Linked DNA regions of Cricetulus griseus. The protein of the gene in region 2 binds, or shares a complex with, the protein of the main gene of each other region. Links are inferred from orthologs where the notes say so. Each region holds a gene or a part of one and is shown on either strand. Other genes may lie near its edges.

Region 1 (10,196 bases), on a different chromosome or scaffold from region 2:
GAATTACAACTACAATATAAATCAATGGAATCTCAGTCATCATTTCACAAAATAGAGTCAGCACCAGCAATATTGTCTGTAGTGTTTGAACTGGAAGCAGGCACATCTCTCTATTTTTAACTGCTGCATCTGAGTGTGGCACACAGCGGAATAACTCTTGTGTCTTCTGGTGTAATCGCACCTACTAAAGCACTCTTACTCTTAAAATAATGTAGACAGAAAGAACTTATTGTCCCTGTACTTCAGCTCAGCACAAGGTTGGAGGAAGAACACAAGGCACAGTGAACACGTTTCTATGGAGAAATCAACTGATCCCTGAGCCACCGCCATGTTGAGGAATCAAGAAAGGAGGAAGCACTAAGACGAAAAGGTAGTGAAGCAGGCAAAGCAACTGTAAGATGGAGGAGCCGGCCACCAGAGCAAGCAAGAAACAGGAGCACAGGGCTGACAATACAAGATGCCGCTGGGGGCAGAATACAGCAAGGCCTAAAGCTGGCGATGGTTGGCATCTATAACAAGAAAGGTCTGAGGGGCCAGCTGGGGCTAAGTCTAGATAACAGGACTTAGAACAAAAAGGCAGTGAGTCTACACATTTTTTCCTAAATCTTGCTGAAAAGTAGACTAGAGTCAAGATGACAGATGGTGAGAGGAACAAGAGTCCAAAGGTAATTTTTTTTTAAAAGATTGAGATTGCATGCCTGGACACTGATAGACCAAACTGGCTAAGCAAGAGAAACACATTATATAGGTCAAAGGGAGCCAGCAGAAGATGCCAACTTCCTAAGTAGGGCAGAGGGACAGACTCCCTCATGAGGAGGGATGGCCTCTATAACAGGAGGGAAGTCAGAGCATGTAAGCAGGAGGTGTCAGGAAGAAAAACAGGCATGGGACTGAAGGTGTGCGTACGGGGGTGCAGAGAGGTTGAGAGCACAAGGAAGTTTGCAATGATAACCACAAACTCTAGGCTAGCAAAGAATAGCAACTTGTGGCATGAAGGTGGGATGTGAAGAGAACAAGATGGGAGGAAAGCAGCTCATCCCAGCATGTGGGCTGGCCAACTGCAGCCCGTCCTGACAGCCACAGTCTGCCCTGGCCCTACCTTACCCACCACACCAGACATAGCACTTACCTGGTCCTGTGTGTTTGAGAATGAAGTTTTCATCATCGAACTTCTTTCCATAAATGGACTTGCCCCCTGTGCCGTTGTGGTTTGTGAAATCACCGCCCTGGCACATGAACTGGGGGATGATGCGGTGGAAGCTGCTTCCCTTGAAGCCAAAACCCTTTTCGTGGGTGCACAGGCAACGGAAATTCTCTGATGTTGAGAAAGGAAAAGGTGCTGAGGTTGACAACAACCTAGATTCCTGACAAAAATTAAGGTACCTACCCAGAAAGATGAGGGGTTATGAAAGTGGGGGAAATAAAACATGTTTTACTCATTTACTTTTGCACAGCTGCTCCTGAGTATCCACATGTGGAAGGTTCCCAGGACTCTACATTATCTATGATACACAATACAATATAAACGCTCCATAAATGGTTGTTATCTACATTATCTAGGATATATAAAGGGGGCAATACAAGCATGCTTAGTAGAAATGCAATGTTCCCCTCAAATATATTTAAAATTCTTTATTGCATTCATTTATTGTATATCTATTGTACATGTGTGTATAGGTCTGAGGACAACTTATAGGGCTTGAACTCAGGTTACCAGACTTGGTAGCAGACACTTTAACCTGCTGAGCCATCTCACTGGCCCATCACGTATTTCTGCTGTGGTTCACTAAATTCACAGATGTGGATCCCACGGATGGAGAGGGCTAACTGTATTCTCATCTTATGTTGCTTATAAGCCTTTACAATACTGAACTACTGCATAACACATGCCACTCCGATTAAATAGGACAGAATATGTGCATTCTACCTCTGCTGTATCCCCAAACCATACTAAATAGATAAAGAAATGATTTTTTTCAATAATTTATTTGTATTTTATGTACATTGGCATTTTGCCTGCATGTATGTCTGTGTGACGGTGTCAGATACCCTGGAGTAGGAGGAGTTATGGATAGTTGTGAGCTGTCATGTAGGTGCTGGCAATTGAATCTGGGTCCTCTGGAAGAGCAGACAGTGCTCTTAACCACCGAGCTATCTTTCCAGCCTGATTGATTTTTTTTTTTTTTAAGATTTATTTTATGCACACGGTGCTCTATCTGCATATATACCTGCATGCCAGAAGAGGGCATCAGATCCCATCATAGATGGCCTTGAGCCAGGTGGGTGCTAGGAATTGAACTCATGACCTTAGGAAGAGCAGCCAGTGTTTGTAACTGCTGAGCCACCTCTCCAGTCTCATGAAGTAATTTTTTTTTTGAGATTTGTTTATTTATTATGTATGTATGTATGTATCCCTGTAGGCCAGAAGAGGGCACCAGACTACATTATAGATGGTTGTGAGCCACCGTATGGTTGCTGGGAATTGAACTCAGGACCTCTGGAAGAACAGGCAGTGCTCTTAACCCCTGAGCCATCTCTCCAGCCCTGAAAGTGATTTTTTTAAAAAAAAAAAAAAAAAAAAAAAAAAGGAGAGAAAAAAAGAAAAAACCAGGGCCAGTCGGACAGCTCAGTAAGTAAAGGCAGGCACTTACTGTGCAAGCCTAGAGACCCAAGTTTGAACCACAGAATCCAGGTGAAAGTGAAAGGACAGAATTGACTGTTAAGTGGTACTTTCCTCCAAGATAAAGCTTCCCAGGCTGGAGGAAAGCTTGTTAAGACTTAGGGTGTTCCAAAAAAACTCAGGATGTTTATCCTTCAAGCTCCTTGTCAATTCAGGAAGTCCCTGAAACTGACCACATTCAATGGGATCCTTTCTTCCCTAAGCAGGAAGAACTGCTGAGAGACACTGTCAGACAAATGGAGCTCCCTGTAGTCTCAAACCACCAGAGTAGCCTGGAAAACCACTCTCTAATCTGTCAATCGGCTGGAAGCTGTACAGTTAGCACCAGGTTCCTAGCTTTTACAAGCCACTATGAGCCTTTGGTAATGCAGCTTACTTTGGGTCAATTTCTGTTCCTGTAAGTAACTACTTACTCATACTCCTGTAAGAACCATAAAGTCACTGGCTCACCAAGCTGAACTTTATGGTATTTTTTTTTCTTTGTTGAGTAGACATTTGTTCATGTCTTTCCTGGAACTCTTAAAGGTTGTCTTCTAACCTCCATATGTGTCACACACATGCACATACACAATAATTTGTTTTTGATACAAGGTCTCACTATGTAGCTCTGGCTAGTCTGGAACCCTTCTATGTAGTCCAGGCTGGCCTGGAACTCAAGAGATCTGCCTCCCAAATGCTGGGAATAAAGGGGTATGCCACCACACCCGGCAACGCTAATTTTTTCTGAGATTTCTTTTTTAAAAATCCTGTTCATGTAATGTGTCTGTATGCTAGTATGTACATGTGAAAGTGGGTGCAAGAAGAGGCATCAGATTCCTTGGAGCTAGGGTGACAGGTATCTGTGAGCTGCCTAACCAAACTTATAGTAACTACCAAGACAGATAAGGAGGTGTGGAAGGGGGAAACAGCTAATTCCTTTTCAGGGGCAGTAAATCAAAAGAAAGGCTTAAACTGAAAACACACACACACACACACACACACACACACACACACACACACACACACACACACACACAAAAGGGAGGGGTAAATATATATCTATTATCTTCTAATGTGGAAGTCAAAACCAAAATAATTAGCTAAGAAATGAAACTAGCTCCCTATTATTATAAAGCAACTAATGATTTTACAAACCAACTTTTGTGATAACTTAAGTTATATGTATATATAGTAAAACTTATATTAAAAAATAAGTCAATATTTTAATAAACTAGAAATTGGTACCAGTTACTTCTAGGGCATAGAGCTGGATGTAATATTGTTAGAATATGTGTGTGTGATACTTTCTTTTAAACAATGAATATATTATTCGCAATGTATTTGCAATAATATATTACTTGTGTTATTTTAAAAAAACCTCTCTATTATTAAAAAATAGTAAAACAGCATTATGAAGCTTCAATGTCAGCTCTGATCTGTTTCTAGATCCCAAGACCTCAGATGCCACAAATTCATTTATTTACGTTAGAAACAACGCCAGGGGAATAAGAGCAGAGGCAGTGAGAACCTTGGGAAGACTGCTCAGCAACCAGTTTTCTGCCAATCTGACCATAGAGAATCTGATTACCTGCTGTCATGGGTACAACATCAGATCGTAGGAGCATTTGGATGCGGCCAGCTGGCTTGTTCCCAATCTTGATGTCCATGTACACCTGAGGATTTGACCGTGCTTTTTTTGTAGTGGGCTCTCCCTAGGTGCAGGAAAAAAAATACTAGTCAGAAATGCTAGTGGCTGGGCAATGGTGATGCACACCATTAATCCTAGTGGAGGCAGGTGGATCTCTGTGAGTTCTAGGCCAGCCTGATCTACAGAGCAGGCATTCCAGGGTTGTCAAGGCTACATGAAGAAACCCTGTCTCAAAAAAAAGGGAAAAAAGAACAAGAAAAATATAAATGCTAGTGCTCCTAAGTAGATGCACAAGTAATCTTTGGAGTGATGGAGGAGGTCCTTCTGTGTGTATGTTTGTCTTATTGGTTGATAAATAAAACACTGTTGGCCAATAGGGAAGCAAGACAGGTGGGACTAGAAGTCAAGGTGGATTCTGGGAAATGTAGTAAAGAGAAGTCTTGTGATACAGGAAGGAAGTGACATAGCAGGCAACTCAGAATATAAGCAGGAACAAGCAGGAAATTACTCTCTTCCTCCTCCTCTCTTCTCTGTGGAGCCACCATGTGATCCTGGCAAGAGAAGATGCCTGCCGCTGGTGTCCAATAAGATAAGTTCTTAAAAAATATATAGATTAGTAGTTATGGTTGATAACTAAGACTGAGCTAGCAAGTAAGAAATACTAGTCATTGGCCAGCAGCATTGTACCTAATATAAGTCTCTGTGTGTTATTTTGGGCACCCATGTGGGGGGGGCAGTTCGGGCGGCCTGGCAGAAAGAGTTATCCTTACACAAGAGGTCTGCAGAAGCCAAGAGTGACTGGTACTGTTTCAGCTGAAAAAGGACAGAAAAGCCATGTGCCATGAACAAAGCATAGAAGAATGTCAACCTCACAGGGTACACAGAGGAAGTGAGTGTGCTGAGAGCCAGAACTATCTTAGGCAAACCCAGAAACCACATACTAGGGAAGGGAAGTACACTACCTGCCCTATCACTTCTATATGCAGCCAAGAATAGGACAGAGCAAGGCACCAAGGACCTCAACACAGGGGGGCTGCCTGACTGGTGTGGAGGAGCACAGATACGATCCTCACTCACTCTGCACTTTTGTAAATACATGCATCTGCAAGTGCCCATAACGATGGAAAGCAAAGTCTGTATTCTGGGAGAGGCACCACCTTCCCTCTCACCTCTTGGGTTTCTGCTTTGGGAGGTTCGGGCCCTTCTTCTTCTTTATTCTCTTCTAGAGTCTTCCCAGAAAACTTCTTCAACCAGTCATCATCTGACCAAACTAGAAGGAAAAAGACACACACATGAAGAAATCAGACTGTCCCTTACCTGCCAGGCAGATGCTTTGGTCATCTCTGTGGTCTTCTTGGCCAGAAGTTCCCTTTGAAACTGTTCAAGACCATGCTCCCACTAGGACTCCCCGGAGGTCCAGCACTTAGCAGAACTAAGGGAAAAAGCTGTGCCAAAGGCAAAGACAGGCTATGCTGGCTTCAGGCCTTTCCCAGGAATGGAGTACCAAGAAAACTGGGTGATAAGAGACCAGGCAGGGGCTGGGGGGTGGTGGCACACGCCTTTATTCCCAGAACTTGGAAGGCAGAGGCAGGCGGATCTCTGTGAGTTCCAGACCAGCCTGGTCTACAACAGCTAGTTCTAGGACAGCCTCCAAAGTCTGTCTCAAAAAACCAGAAAGAAAAAACAGACCAGGCAGGGTTCTCAAGAGGAACAATTACTTTGGCTTTGTGGCTGTTCGTCGATACAGGTAGCTCATTCCCTTGGCCAATGTGAACCACCCTCTTGTCCCCTCCACTTCTGTTAAACCAGAAGCAGCACTGAGAATACACATAAAGGAGGCCAAGCCATAGGACCTGGCAAGTACTCCATGAGGCGCCCCACTCACCTGGTCTGGAAGAGCCCTCTTTAATTCTCATTGGTTTGGCCAAATTGACACGAATTGTCCGTCCAAAGAGTTCAGATTCATTCTGAAATGATTGTAAATCCAGTTGCTTAAACTGTCAGATTAAAAATCTCCAGCAGCTTTTCATGTACTTCTGAGATCTGATCCGTCTCTTTTTTAAATCCAGATCCCTTGGCAACAAAAGCTATGCCCTCATCACAGACAGTACCAAAGAAGGAAATTACAGGAAACTTTACCCCTGGAGCCGCTGCAAACGGCTTTGTTTTTTGAGACAGGGTTTCTGTTTAACAGCCCTGGCTGCCCTGGAACTCACTCTGTAGACCAGACTGACCTCAAACTTACAGAGATCTGCCTGCCTCTGCCACCGCCTGGCTGAGATGATTAGTTTTAAAGATTTTTTTCAGAAAATTCTAGCAACAGGATACGATAACTTTGCACTTCATATCTGACATGAAATGACACGTAAGTGTCTTAGGCCAGCCACAAATCTTAAGAGTGTCATCATTTTCAAGGACTTTTCCAGGCTGTTCTAGTCGTCTGCATCAGTAGCACAGCCTTCAGTTACTCTTACTGAATTTTTCTTCTCAATTGTTAACTAGTCTAACATTTTATGAAACCCTTCCCTTTTTGCAAATATGCAGTTTCAGTGAGCAATCAGTTGGCACTGGGTTCACCATTCACCATCATGTGGGGTTGCAAGTGAGAGACCAGCCAAGAAGGATGAGCAGGAAGTACACTGCTAAGTGGAGAGGTGTCCGAGCACGAACTAATTTTACCAGCAATCAGTTCACAGTGAATAGCTTTATTTGATGGCAACTTTTACCTCCCCACCCAATCGTGACACTTCAGAGATTCAGAACACCACCAGTATTTGAACAAGGACCCCTGTAGCAGCAAAGGCAACTTCAGTTAGAATGAGGGATCCCAGCCATACCATGTTGTCGATAGCTGCTGCAGCATCCTGCCAAGGAAATGCAAGGTGTAAGTTTAGGCTTGTATCTGAATGTTTCTTGCATGTCTAAATGCACAACAGGCAGCAAAATAAACTGGAAAAAGTCATCTCTGTACTTCCTGCCTAGTTTGTGTGTGAAACTAACAACACTTCTTGGGCAATTTTCGAGCTTGTAGTGGCATAATCTGCTTCTAGCTGAAGGCACAAGAGATAAACACCAGCATAGCCAGGCAAGAACGTTCTATGAACAGAGCTGTAAGAGCTTTGCAGAGCATGACAGGGTCTGACAGTCAGTCTGAGCTGTTACCAACAGATCACAGTCTGATAAGAGGCTTTCCTTCAAACAGCACTTCCAAAAGCATCAGCCTAAGACTCAAAACTTAAGTAAATGGGAAATAGCTTCCTCCACGGCAGTGGTTCTCAACCTCCCTAACGATGCACCCTTAATACAGTTCCTCATGTTGTGGTGACCCCCAACCATAAAATTATTTCGTTGATACTTCATAATTATAATTTTGCTACTGATATGAATCATAATATAAACATCTGATATGCATCCCCAAAGGGGTCACAACCACAGTTGAGAACCACTGCTCTATAACAACCAAAGACTAACCAATGGCAGTACAGAAGTCTCACCTCTGCCAACTCAAATTCAACAAAAGCAAATCCTCGGTGCTTTTCTGCAAAAAGGAAAAAGCACAATATAAGTAATTACCATGTGAGGCAATGGAAGAAAAGAGAACAGTTGCAAAGAAATCGGTCACATGCCATGTCCAGACACCAGAAATCCTACCCATTCACTATTTAGAAAGACAGAATCTCATTCTTTAATCCCTATTAAGGAATATTTAAAGCAATAATAAACATTTCTATGGATAAAGTACCTGACTGGATCCCCCCTTGGACTGGAGTTACAGATGATTGGGAGCCACAATATGAGTGCTGGAAATTTAATCTTGAATCTGGGTCCTCTGGAAGAACAGCCAGTGTTCTTATCACTGAGCCATCCCTCCAGCCCTGAACTGATTTTTGTTTGTTTTGTTTTTTGTTTTTCTTGAGACAGGGTTTCTCTGTGTAGCCTTTGCTGTCCTGGAACTCACTTTGTAGACCAGGCTGGCTTTGAACTCTTAAGAGATCTACCTGCCTCTGCCTCCTGAGTGCTGAGATTAAAGGCGTGTGTCACTACAGCCTGGCTCTGAAATCTTTACAATGAGCACCGAGGGCTGGTGAGATGGCTCAGTGGGTAAAGGAGCTTGCCATCAAGTCTGATAACCTGAGTTCAATCCCAGGATCCACATGGTAGAAGAACCAATTCCTATGGACTGTCCTCTGCCTGCTGTACCACACAGAAATAAAGGGGGAAAATATTTTAAAAGGCATTCTATTCATCTATGAAAGTCAAACATAAACCTTAACCTTTCATGCAGTGCAACTAGCAAGATAAGTTATTTAGCCTTATCAACTATTTATCCAAATATACAATTTCAATGTAGATGCCAGAGTATATAGCTGTAATGTCAACTACTTGGGAAACTAAGGCAGAATGATTACCAATTAAAGAGGCCAGCCTGGACAAAACAGTGAGACTGTTTTGAAGCAGAAACAAAACAAAACTAAAACAGGAAAAAGCCACCAACCAAATATACAGTTTTATCAACAACTACACATAAATCCTAAAATCTGGTAAGGATACTCAGCCTTTACCCCCACACAAATTCTGATCTAAGTGGAAAGCCCACACACAATAAAGTCAACTTAGTTACACAGTCCAATAGAAAGTCAGCCAGTGGTGATGGTGCAGTCTATAAACCTAGTACTCATGAGGCAGAGGCAGGCAGATCTGTGAGTTCAAGGCCAGCCTGGTCTACAGAGTGAGTTCCAGGACAGCTAGAGCTACACAGAGAAACCCTATCTCAATCTTCCACCCATAACCCCCAAAAAGTAAACAGAACTTTTTCTTTGCATGTATTTTTGCAGACAGTGTCTCACTATGAAGCCTAGACTGACCTTAAACTCTATCCTCCTGCCTCTGAAATGCTGGGATTACAGGCATGTGCTACCATGCCCAGCAACTACCGGCAAAAGATTCCCTAGACTCAGACTCAGAGAATTTAATGCTACCCCCCCCCCGTGTGTGTGTGTGTGTGTGTGTGTGTGTGTGTGTGTGTGTGCGCTCAAGGAACTGAACCATGGCCTCACATGTTGGACAAGAGCTCTACTGTGCTATAACTTCAGTCTAAGAATGCAAATTTAGAGTTGGAATGTGACTTTTTTTGTTTGTTTGCTTGCTTGTTTGTTTAGGTGGTTTTTCAAGATGATGTTTTTCTGTGTAACCCTAGCTGTCCTGGAACTCACAGAGATCCACCTGCCTCTGCCTCCTGAGTGCTGGAATTAAAGACATGTGCCACCACTGCCCATGTGACTTTAATCTTTTAAAATTCTTTTCCTATAGGAGGGTAATGAATATTAGAGACACCCAAAGGACCCACCTGTTTCATAATCCAGAGGAATCTGAATATCTGTGATGTCTCCAAAAGGGATAAAAGCAGCATGAAGAACCTTGTCGTCCACCTCTTCTGCCAGCCCACCTGCAAATAGCCAAGGACATTCTGCACCCCTGTGCGCACTCAAAAATCTCTGCAGCCCATGGGCAAGCCAGGACAGAGGGATCGTTCCATCCAGTCCTTCATCTACACAAACACCTCTCTTTCTATTGCCCACCCACGCTATGTTCCTTTCTCCAACCTTTTTTCAAACAGATCTGAATCTATCTCCAAGGTTCCACAACAGCTTCACAAGTCACCAGGGGGCCTCCATTCCCTGCGTCAAACCCCCTCCCAAAACCAGTAGGAATATTTTGTGAAAACGGAAACAAACCCATCGGTTCTCTTAGACTTCAAAGTCTTACACGTCACGGTCCTCAAGAAGACCTGAGAGCTCCTTAAATAGCAGCGTACACAGGTTATCACCTGAGCCTTACTAGCTCCCACTCAAGTTCCCCTGGGTTTCTCGAAAAAAAAAATAATAACCT
Region 2 (10,927 bases):
CATGCAGGAAGAGCCAGGAGTACCGCTTTGTAAATTGTCACCCAAACAGGTGCGTTTTCAGTGATGCAGCTACTTTTGAGTCATCCATGTTCCTGTAATTAACCCCTTACCCATGTTTCTGTAAGGAAGCCCAAAAAATTCACAGGTTTGCTATGGGTTCACATTTGTAAAATAAAGAAATAAATCACCAGGTACTCTATCTGTAGTAAACAGACATTTGTTCATGTCTTGCCAGGAAAAGTCAAACAACTCACGAGCTTGTGTTTTTCTACTCTTTACACCCCACAGAACACAGTCCCATTTCTCTACCCCATGTCCTCATGCAAGCACCAGGGGAAGGGCATTTGTGAGCTTTGCAACTGTCATGCCTGGACCCTTCTGTCTTGCCCAGGACACGCTCCCCTCCCCACCCCACCCCAACCACTGCAAATCCCGATCCCCTGACATTACTCATTCCAGGCTTCCCTAGTAATTTTCTTAGACCACAATAGTCCCAGTTAGTCCTCTGGAGACTCTCAGCATCCCACCCAACCCTCTGTTCCCCGAATGCCTCTGGAAAGCAAAGCAGGAAGGAAGCCACAGTCACGAGGGGAATTTTTTCACACCAGGTAACAGGCAACCTACTCTGTTGTTACACCAATTCCTTACAGGTAAAGTGAAGCCATCACCCTCATTTTGCAAATAGGGACACTCAAGGACATTTGTCACCCCACTGAGAGCTTGGGTTGATTCAGCTGACTGGGTTGGCTAGGCACATGTCCTCTTCCTTCCTCACTGCACCATGTATGTCTCTCCTAAAGCTGCAAGCTATGTCACTATGCGGAAAGGACAATGTTCCCTGAACAGAGAAGCCTGGGCTTCAGTCAAGGGTACACGAGTGGCTGCACGCCTCCAAACAAGCTCCCAAACAGGACACTCATGCTTACAAGGTCCCAGACTACACAGCTAGGAAGTAAGAGAAGCAGGTCCCGAGTCAGCGGCCCTGAAGGGGCTGCTGCTGCACCTATCCTCAGTGCCAGAACGGCAAATGTGTGCATGGATGTGATGTGTCACACGTTTCCTGCCCATGCACTCCAAGAGTGTCCTCCAGAGACCCACCGAACAGCTGAGGCCTCAGTACCCACATACCTTCTCGAAGTGGCCACTGCGGATGTAGTAGTCAGCCAGGGAGCACCACAGCTTGCCCAGCTGGTCGGTGAAGCGGGTAAGCCCACCACGGATGATGGCATCTACATTGAGGGACTGTACCTTGTCTGGATTCTGGGAGATAAGGTCGCATAGCTCGTGCCACAGCTGCAGGACACAGGGTGTCGGGGGAACATCTCAGTCTTGGTCCAGGAGGGAGGACAACTCTCACCCCGCCTCCATCTTCCAGTAGACCCACCTGGTAGTTGGACTTGCCCGCCTTGGACACAAAGCGCTCATCATTCACCACCGTGGCCAGGCGCTGTGCAGCCTCGTCTAGTCGGTCACTGGATTTGAGGTACTCGATGTACTCCTCAGCACTCTCAGGACTGAGCTGGAGAATACCCACCCCATTGGTGAATGGGGCTGCAGGAGATGACATCTCTCTCCTCACTCAGGGGCTCTAGAGCTCTTACTCCCCATTTATCAGTTGTTTAGCAAACAGCCAGCCCCTACTAAGCCAGCCTCAGCTCTCTGGTGGTCTAGACTCAGACCTTACTGGTCTGGCCTTGGCCCCTCTGGGTCTAGCCTGGCTATAGTTCTTATGATAGTGAGTGCTAACTGTCAATCTGACAGAATCCAGAATCACTCAGAGCTGGGCCTTACAGCATGTGTGAGATTATCTGGACTATGTTAATTTAGACAAGAACACTCATGTTACTTATGGATTTCCAGGCAGGGATCCTGTATAATGTACAGAGAGTGACCAGCACACAAGCATGCATGCATAGCTGTTTTTAAATCTTGGATGTGATGTGGCTAGCTTCTGTTCGATGTACATCTGAACCATGAGCCAAAACAAACCCTCTCCCTGTAAGATTGTTTCAGGGTGTTTTGTCACAGCCACAGGAAGAGGAACTGAGGCAGTAATATAGCCTGGGCCTTCAGCCTCAGACCTGAGTGGTCCAGCCTTGGCCATTCCTTTAGCCTTGACACCTCTCTGATTGGGGATGTCCTTCTGTATGCCATGAATATGTTTCTCTTATTGGTTGATGAATAAAGCTGTTTTGGCCAATGGACAGGCAGGATGTAGCCAGGCAGGAAGTGTAGGTGGGGCTACCAGACTACAAGAATTCTGGGAAGAGGAATGGAGAGAGTGAGTCTCCATCACTGTAAGTCAACACAGATTGTGGAAAAGGTGTAAGGCAAAAGCTAACTACTTAGAAACTAAAGATAATAAACCACAGGGCTTGGGAGAAGGATCAGTACAAAGCGTTTGCCTTGCAAGTGTGAGGACTGGAGCTTGCATCCTTAGAACCCACATAAACACTGGCTAGCATGGTAGCACTGGAGGGGCAGAGAGAGGGGATTGCTGGGGCTAGCTAGAACTAGCCAAATCTGGTTCTGGCTGGTATGCTCTGGGTTCAGTAAGCAATCCCACCTCAATGAAGTGGACAGTAATTGAGGAAGACATCCAGTGTCAAGTTTGGGCCTCTACATGCATGGGTATGCAAAACACACCCACACACCATAGGAGCCTCTTCCTGCAGCCTATCTGTTGCATGAGGGCCCTTATCCCAGTGAGTCAAGGTTTGGAAGCCGACCTGGGAACAGGACTATTCAATGGTGCTTACCTTGAGGAAGCGACGGTAGCCTCTCACAGCAGTCTCAGGCAGTGGGTGGGAGCGCAGGAATCGAAGATACAGGGGCCAGATGCGAGAGTGCTGTGTGATGGGTAGTGCCCGGAGGGCGCGATCAAAGGTGCGGCGGGTGTGTGTTACTCGTCCCTGGTCCATGAGGAACTGGCAGTAGTCTAGCCACAGACGTGGCATCTGGAAATAATGGAAAGTGATGGGTGAGGCATGTCTGAGCCACAGGCTCCATGGCTTGCTTACCATCCACATCTAGGACATAAGGGCAGCAGGGAGGCAATAGGTCTCATTACCCCTCACTCAGGCTCTGTAAATAAGCCAACTCGTTAGTTCCTCAAGTAGGTGGAGCATTTTGGTGGACCTATACTTTATTTTGCTGGAGCACTATAAGGAAGGGGTAGACACCTGTTTACATCTCCCTGGGAAAATAGTTCCCACTGCATACCCCTTCCCCAGCTCCCCACCTTGTGCATGAACACAAAGGCCCTCTCGTGGCAGTTGTTGACATCTTCATAGGCAGGGTCAGTCACGCAGCGATGCTTCACCTGTGCCCGGCGTGCCTTCAGATAGCGGTACCAGAGTTTGTAGCTAGAGAGCAGTGAAGACAGATATGGCTTATGGAACTCTAGAACCCTTTCCTTGCTCCAGAGGCAACTGTGGTACAAAAAGGGACTGAGGAGGGGTGAGAGTTCTTACAAGGAAGGGAAATACTGGGAATGAGGAAAGGTGTAACCCAGCAGGGGTTGTGAATATACAGGATATATAAGGGAATACACAGTGATCATCTGGGACACATTACTACTTGTGTGTGACTGTATATGGAGGGGTGGGGGCTGGTGAGCAGGGTAGCACAGAGAAGGCCATTTGTACCTGCAGGGAAGCAGCTTGAGTGCCCGCTCATACAACTGATTGAGCCGTGGTTTTGGGGCCCCCTGTTTGAACTCGATGTAACGAAGCCAGCATTTGACGGAGAACTGGTTCCTCATGATTTCTTCCTCATAGGGAAGGTCCTCTTCCTCCTGCCAGAGCCAGGGAAGGGGAGGAGAGAGGCCCATCCTTAGTCTCAGTGGAGTCACACCCCACACAGGGTTTAGTGCCAAACTCTAGGCTTCTACTACAATTCTATGCTCCTCCAAAAGGCAGTGGTGCAAGCTTATACTCCCATCACTTCAGAGGCAAAAAGACCAAAAGAACAAAAGAATTGTTTTTGTTCAAAAGAACAAAACAAATGGGAGGTTGGTGAAAAGCTCAGCGGGTATAGGCACCTGCCACCAAGCCTGAGGACCTGAGTTCAATCCACATGGTAGGAGAGAATCAATGTCTTCTACTTTCCACTTGCACACAAGTGGCACATACGGTTTACCTCTCGAACATGCTAAAATTACAAAACAAACAGGAGTGGAAGGATGACCTAGTCCATAGGCATGAGCATGATAACCTGGTTCAGAACACCCATGTAAACGCCAGGCATGGCAGTGTGTATCTATAATCCCAGTGCTGGTCAAGCACACACAGGGAGATCCCTGCAGCCCATTAGCCAGCCAGTGAGCTTCAGGTACAGTGAGAAGACTTTTGTCTCAAAAAGTAAGATGGAGAGCAACTAAGGAATACAGCTAACCTCTCTTTTTGGCCAATACACAGTCACACATTACAAACACACTATACTTAAAAACAAACAGGGCTGAGGGCTGGAGACATGGGTCAGTAGTTAAGAGCTCTTGCAGAGGACTCGAACTTATCCTCATCTTCCCTGCGCTCGTATCAGACAGCTCAGAACCACCTGTAACTCCAGCCTCTGTCAACACCACACACACACACACACACACACACACACACACACTTTTTTTTCTTCTTCTTTTGAAACAAGGTTTCCCTGTGAAACAGTCCTGCCAGTCCTGGAACTCACTCTGTAGACCAGGCTGGCCTTGAACTCAAGAGATCTGCCTGGCTCTGCCCGCCAAGTGATGGGATTAAAGATGTGCTCACATAAACATGATTAAAAAAAAAAAAAAAAAAGCCAGGCATTGGTGGTGTATGCCTTTAATCCCAGCACTTGGGAGGCAGAGGCAGGTGGATCTCTGTGAGTTAGAGGCCAGCCTGGTCTCCAGAGCGAGTGCCAGGATAGGCTCCAAAGCTACACAGAGAAACCCTGTCTCAAAAAACAAAAAACAAAAACAAAACTTTAACAAATAAAGAAACACAACATAGCAGTGTCCCAGGCATGGTTTCTTCTTCTGTTGAAATGGGATTACCAGTCACTCAGATGCTAGAGTAGTGGTTCTCAGCCTGTGGGTTGCAACCCCTTTGAGGGGACAAAGAACGCTTTCCAGGTGTCGCGTAAAACCATCAGAAAACACAGATGTTTATATTGTGATTCATAACAGCAGCAAAAAAAACAAACAAACAAACAAACAAACAAAAAACCTAGTTATGAAGTAGCAATGAAAATAATTTTATGGTTGGGGGTCATCAAAACATGTAGAAAAGTATTAAAGGGTCACAGCATTAAGAAGGTTGAGAACCACTGTGTTAGAGTGTTAGTTCAGACCTCTGGCCCTCAGAACTCAACTGTCCACACAGACTTCTCAGCCACTAGTGGTTAATGAGATATCAGCTGTGGCCAGTAAATTCTACTGCCCACTTCCTGATCACAATCCCCACACTCTAAAAAATTCTTTGACAATTTCATACACATATGCAGTGAATTTTAGACATTTTCACCATCTATTATCCTCTCCCATGCAATCCCATAATCTCCAGACTTGCATAACACCAGGGCCCAGGTCCAGGTGCCAAGCCTTTGCCACGAACAGCAGGTTGTATTAATTACAACACACTTCTTCCCAGACATTAGGCCTTTGTTCCCCATGCTCACACTGTCACCATATCTTTATACCAGGCCCAGATAACGAAGGTTTACACACAGACACAGACACAGACACACACACACCCCTACCTGCCAGAGTCTCACTTTTTGCTCTGGCTGTCCTGAAACTCACTATGTAGACTACACTGCCTTCAAACTCACAGAGATCTGCCTACCTCTGCCTCCCAAGTGATGGAATCAAAGGTATGTGCTACTACACTGGGCTCAAAATTTTAATGTTTTTTTTTTTTAAAGCTTTATTTATTATGTATACAGTGTTCGGCCTGTATGCAGAAGAGGGCACCAGATCTCATTACAGATGGTAGTGAGCCACCATGTCGTTGCTGGGAATTGAACTCAGGACCTCTGGAGGAGCAGCCAGTGCTCTTAACCTCTGAGCCATCTCTCCAGCCCAATTTTAATGTTTTTAATTAATTAATTTTTTTCTTCCAGCTTCCTCTAGGAGGCAGGTACAGGTGGATCTCTATGAGTCCAAGGACAGGCTGGTCTACAGTAAGTTCCAGTCCAGTCAGGGCTACATAGTGAGATCCTATCTCAAACAAAAATAATTTGTGTGTTTGTGTATACATTCATGTACACACATGTGGGAGCTGGTGCTGGCAGAGGCTGGAGGTCCTCTTCAATTGCTCTCCACCTTATTTTTGAGACAGGGTCTCTCACTAGCATTTTATGTAGGTGTTAGGATTCTGAACTGAGGTCTTACACTTGTATAGCAAGCACTTTACCAACTGCGCCACCTCCTCAGCCCCAGGTGACTAAATCTTTACTTAAGCCACCTAGTCCATCAAACTTCTGGCCCTCCAGGATCCCATTAACCTGTACTTTAGCTCAACTTTATCCCAGACATTGCAAGCTAAAGGTTTTACATTCTCAGGAGGTGGGATGCATGCGTGCGTGCGTGTGTGTGTGGTGGGATATAGATCAATTGTAGAGTGCTTGCTTTGCATGCACGAGACCCTTGGTTAAACACACAACCCCGTTATGGCCCTTAACCCAGACCACTATGAACGCGGTTTAAATATGAGGCCTCTATTTCAGCCACCAAATTTTCACCTTTTTAGGATTCTAGGGGCTATCTACATCACTAGACTTTTCTTCATACTCCAAGGTTCTTGTAGCCCCAGAAATCAAGGTGCCATCCAGAAGCCACAACTCGAACCTTGCCACTATGCCTATCAACATCCATGCCGTTCCCCTGCTATCCCATTCCCCTCTTGACCTCACTTCTCCCGGCCCGAGACATCTAGGCCTTAACCTCAACAGCAGCCCCTCACTCAGGCGACGAAAGATCCGGTTCTTTAATCCCGGCATGGCCAATGTTTTGACATGTCGCCTTTGGCTCGTTAGGCTCTCCATGGATTGGACAAGCACAGTCTGGGTCTACACGCCCGAGAGTCAGATTCCGACCCTGGAAGGACTAGCTTCGGGTCTTCCCTCGCGGAGCACCCGTGGCCTCGCTGCAGACTTACAAAAACAAGATCCGGCCGCTCGGGACGCGGTACTCGCGCCATCACCACCATCTTCCTGGCACTCCAGGTACAGACGAGAGTCGTGCTCTGATGGCGTCATTCACAGAAGGCCCGCCCCCTCCGACCAGACCCGTATCGTCAAGGCTGTGACCGGAAGCAGAGAGGGGGCGCCGGAAGATGACGCAGCCAACGAGAGGTTATGGCCACTCAGCTTCAGTATTGCTTCTTGAGATGCACCAATGAGATTTTGCATTGCTGGAGAATCGCCTTTGGGCGGAAGTGGCTTCGTAGAACCGGAAAAGCGAGATGGGGGTGAAGCTGGAGGTGTTTCGGGTCAGTGAGCCCAGGAGTGTGTCGGACGTGTGGACCCAGGCTCTTTCTGAATTTGAGGATAGATGTGGGAAGTGAGAGAAGTGCAGAGTGGGGAGTTCCACGGAGAAAGTATCTGAGCTGTGTGTTGGAACCCCCGCGGAAGGAGCGCTAGGTGTGGGGGCTTTGAATGGAGAGTCTGGGTTTGGCCCGAGGAAGCGTCTCAGTGAGGGTGAAGGGAGGCTTCAGATACAGAGCGGGATTTTCAGAAGGAGATCCCTGGGCTCATAATGGGCCTCAGATAGGCTTACTCCTAGATGTAGGAGAGTATGATTGAAAAAACGAGGCCCCTCTATTTGAAATGTTTCGACGATCAGGTTGGGAGGTAATAACGTCTGAAGGATGTGTCTTTGTAGTAGGAGCTCTTGAACTGTTGCCTCCCCTCCCCCGTCCTCCACCGCGCTCCTTTATGCACGCCTCTCTCCCCCCCTTGCTCTGCCTCTCTCCCCCTCCCCTCCCGTGTGTGTGTGTGTGTGTGTGTGTGTGTGTGTGTGTGTGTGTGTGTGTGTGTGTGTGTGTTTAGGACAGGACTATTACGAATAAAGCTTTCTGACTCATGAAGCCCAGGCTTTAAGGTGCCGGGTTTCCGTTCTCCTGGTAGGATTTCTGGGGCTCCGGGGGAGGAGCTGAGGCCGGGATCCTGACCTGTGTAGGAGGATAGATCTTCTTCCGGGCTCTCCTGCAATCTCCCTGTACCAGGGTGGTGACAGTTCTGGGCTCTGTCTATCCATCTCTGCTTTTGCAGATGTCACTCTATCTCACTTTCCCCGTGGTTATGTTCTGGATCTCCAATCAGGCAGAGTGGTTTGAGGACTCTGTTATCCAGCGAAAGGTGGGTATCAGGAGAGTGCTTGCTGGATCATTCCTGGGGATGGGGAAAGCAGGGTAGGAGGCTTGGTGTTTGGGACCATTACCTGCCTCCCATGAAGTCAACCCTGCGCTGCATGTGGGACTCTGGATTCTTCTGGCTTGTGTTCTCACCTGTGACTTTGTCCCACAGAGGGAGCTGTGGCCACGAGAGAAGGAGGGTCAGGTAAGTAACCCATTCTTCCAGGGGGCTTGGAATACATTTCACCCTCAGCCTCAAATAGGAAATTGGAAACAGAAAAATGAATAGGAGTTCCAGGCTATCCAGAGCTAGAGACCTTGTTTCCACACACGTTTCTTACTGTTCATGATGTATACGCCTGCGATCATTTGGAAGCAGGGGTAGGAGGATTACCAGATTGAAACCAGCCTGGGCTGTATAGGGCTAGAGAGAGGGAGCCTGGAAGAGGGGGAGGTAATTCCAGCATTCCAGCACTTAGGAGATGGTTACAGGAGAATTGGGAATTCTGGATATTTTCTGCTGCATAGTGAGCTCAAGGCTAGCCTGTGGTATGTAAGACCCTGTCTTAGAAAGTGGGAGGACACAAATGATTTAATATTTTACCTTCTCCCTGAAGGATGAATTGAATGCACTGGTATGGTAGTTATGATTGGCATGGGGTCCCAGTATGGATACTGAACTCTCAAGCCAAAGGGAGGGTAGTGGGAGTAAGTCCAGGCCCTGAGGTGTGTGCCCCTCCTTCCTTTCTGTCACACCCCTTTCTTCATTCCAGCGCCAGGAACTAGAAGAATTCAAACAGAAGATCCGGAAGCAGAGGGAAGAGAGACTTCTTAAAGCTGCTCAGCAGAACCCCTGAGACCTCCAAGTCCTCAAGTCCCAGCCCCTCCACCCAGGAAATAACACACACTCAATTCTTTGTTAATAGTGCCAAGTGTTTTATTGTTCTTTTCAGGGGCCAGTCTGGGGCCCAGGATGACTAGAACTCTCAAGGAGCTTGTGTCTGGGGTTGGGGGCTGCTGTTCCTGCGGAAGCTGAGTGCAGCAGGGTCCTGAGGGGTGAGCAGGGGTTGAGGGCTGAGGGTCCCAGGTCGTTTCTGCATTCCATCCTGCAGATGAAGAAGGGTCAGAAATAGGGAGGGGACCAAGAAAGTGCAAGCCAGAGAGGTGCCTCCACACAACATTTCTTTTTGTCTGCCAATCAGGGTGGTATTTGATGACATGGTTAGCTCCCAGTGGGGTCTTGATCAGAACCTGGGCTGTTGGTTTACACCTGTAATCCCAGCACTCAAGAAGAGGATGGAGAATTATCTCAGGGTCAAAGCCACCTGGTCTACACAAAAAGTTCCAGGTTCATAACCCTGACTCAAAAACAAACAAATAAATGGGCTGAGGAGATAACTCAGTCATTAAAATCCTTGCTGTGTACACAGGGAGACCTGAGTTTAATCCCCAACCCCAAAGTGAAAAGCCAGATGTGGCCTTATGCACTTGTAATCTCGGTCAGTGCTTGAGTAGTCAGGAGGATCCCTAGGGAATCCTGGTCTACTTGGTGAGTTCCAGGGCAGCAAAAGATCCTGTCTCAAATAACAAGGTGATGGCAGCGCCTGAGGAACAGTTTCAAGGTTGACTTCTGGCCTCCACCTGCATATGGGCACATGAACCTGTAACATGTATGCTAGTGTACCCAGACACAGGATTGAGGGTGTAGCTCAGTTGGCAGAGAATTCACCAAAGTTCTAGATTCCATCCCCAACCACACAGATGCTCCTGGTGGCTCACACCTGTAACACTAGCACCCAGGAGGTACATGTAGGAAAACTGAAAGTCTAAAGTCATCATTGGCTAGTGCATTTGAGGTCACCTGGAGCTACATGAAACCCTATTGCAAAAAACAATAAAACAAAACACTCCAAACAACCCATGTTCTTCATTAATATGGGTGTGTGAGCTCATATGCCCTCCTCCCACCAGGGTGACCATAGGAAAACTGTTTTCTCCCTGTGCCCTTTCTCAGATACACAGATGTTGTGGCAGGAGCTGTGACTTCCAGCCATGCCTCTGATACCAGAATGAGCCCTGTATGATCTTCAGCCCCTCTGACATCCACCTGCACTTTCCTTTCCCAGAGTTCAAGACGTGTAGAGATAGGGTCCCATCCTATTTTGGCTGGAGATGGGGCATAGACCTAGAGAGTTACACTGCTACACTCCACAGGTTATTGAGACATCACCTACCTTGGGACCGATAGGTTGGAAGCCAGGCAGGGAATTGACTGTTACCCGCTGATCATCCATGCGGCGGCCCTGGGTGTCTGCCAGCATATCCATGAGGTTATCCATCTCTGGAGCAGAGCCACCCTCTACTTGGAGCAGAGACAGGTGGGCCATAGATACAGACTCCAAAGGAGGTCACATGGTGCTCCCCACCCTGACTCCCAAGACCCACAAAATCTCAGGACCCCTTCATCCCTGCCACATTTGCTTCTCAGGAAGCACCCCCCACCCCAATCCTGCAGCGTGTCCAGCTTACGGCTTTCTGGGGTCTGGCCCGGACCAGTCTGCAAGGAACAGCGTTGCTCCTCCATCCGATCGCCCTGT

Evidence for each region.
Region 1: Xab2 (region 2) and Ppie share a complex: the UniProt entries of both Homo sapiens proteins name them as parts of the XAB2 complex. The link is inferred for Cricetulus griseus from reciprocal best matches to the Homo sapiens genes XAB2 and PPIE.

Annotation. Positions count from the first base shown.
Region 1 is NC_048595.1:29,856,500-29,866,695, reverse strand, and holds part of Ppie (peptidyl-prolyl cis-trans isomerase E), read right to left. Parts: intron 9,754-10,196; coding exon 9,655-9,753; intron 7,846-9,654; coding exon 7,802-7,845; intron 7,172-7,801; coding exon 7,145-7,171; intron 6,275-7,144; coding exon 6,193-6,274; intron 5,578-6,192; coding exon 5,477-5,577; intron 4,372-5,476; coding exon 4,248-4,371; intron 1,316-4,247; coding exon 1,130-1,315; intron 1-1,129. UniProt on the Homo sapiens protein: Involved in pre-mRNA splicing as component of the spliceosome. Combines RNA-binding and PPIase activities.
Region 2 is NC_048597.1:88,505,883-88,516,809, forward strand, and holds the start of Xab2 (pre-mRNA-splicing factor SYF1), read right to left. Parts: upstream 7,272-10,927; 5' UTR 7,185-7,271; coding exon 7,134-7,184; intron 3,797-7,133; coding exon 3,648-3,796; intron 3,366-3,647; coding exon 3,242-3,365; intron 2,958-3,241; coding exon 2,760-2,957; intron 1,520-2,759; coding exon 1,385-1,519; intron 1,294-1,384; coding exon 1,129-1,293; intron 1-1,128. Other genes in the region: protein PET100 homolog, mitochondrial, read left to right, coding at 7,440-7,466, 8,248-8,334, 8,503-8,535, 9,104-9,187; Pcp2 (Purkinje cell protein 2 homolog), read right to left, coding at 9,317-9,436, 10,565-10,689, 10,860-10,927. UniProt on the Homo sapiens protein: Involved in pre-mRNA splicing as component of the spliceosome. Involved in transcription-coupled repair (TCR), transcription and pre-mRNA splicing.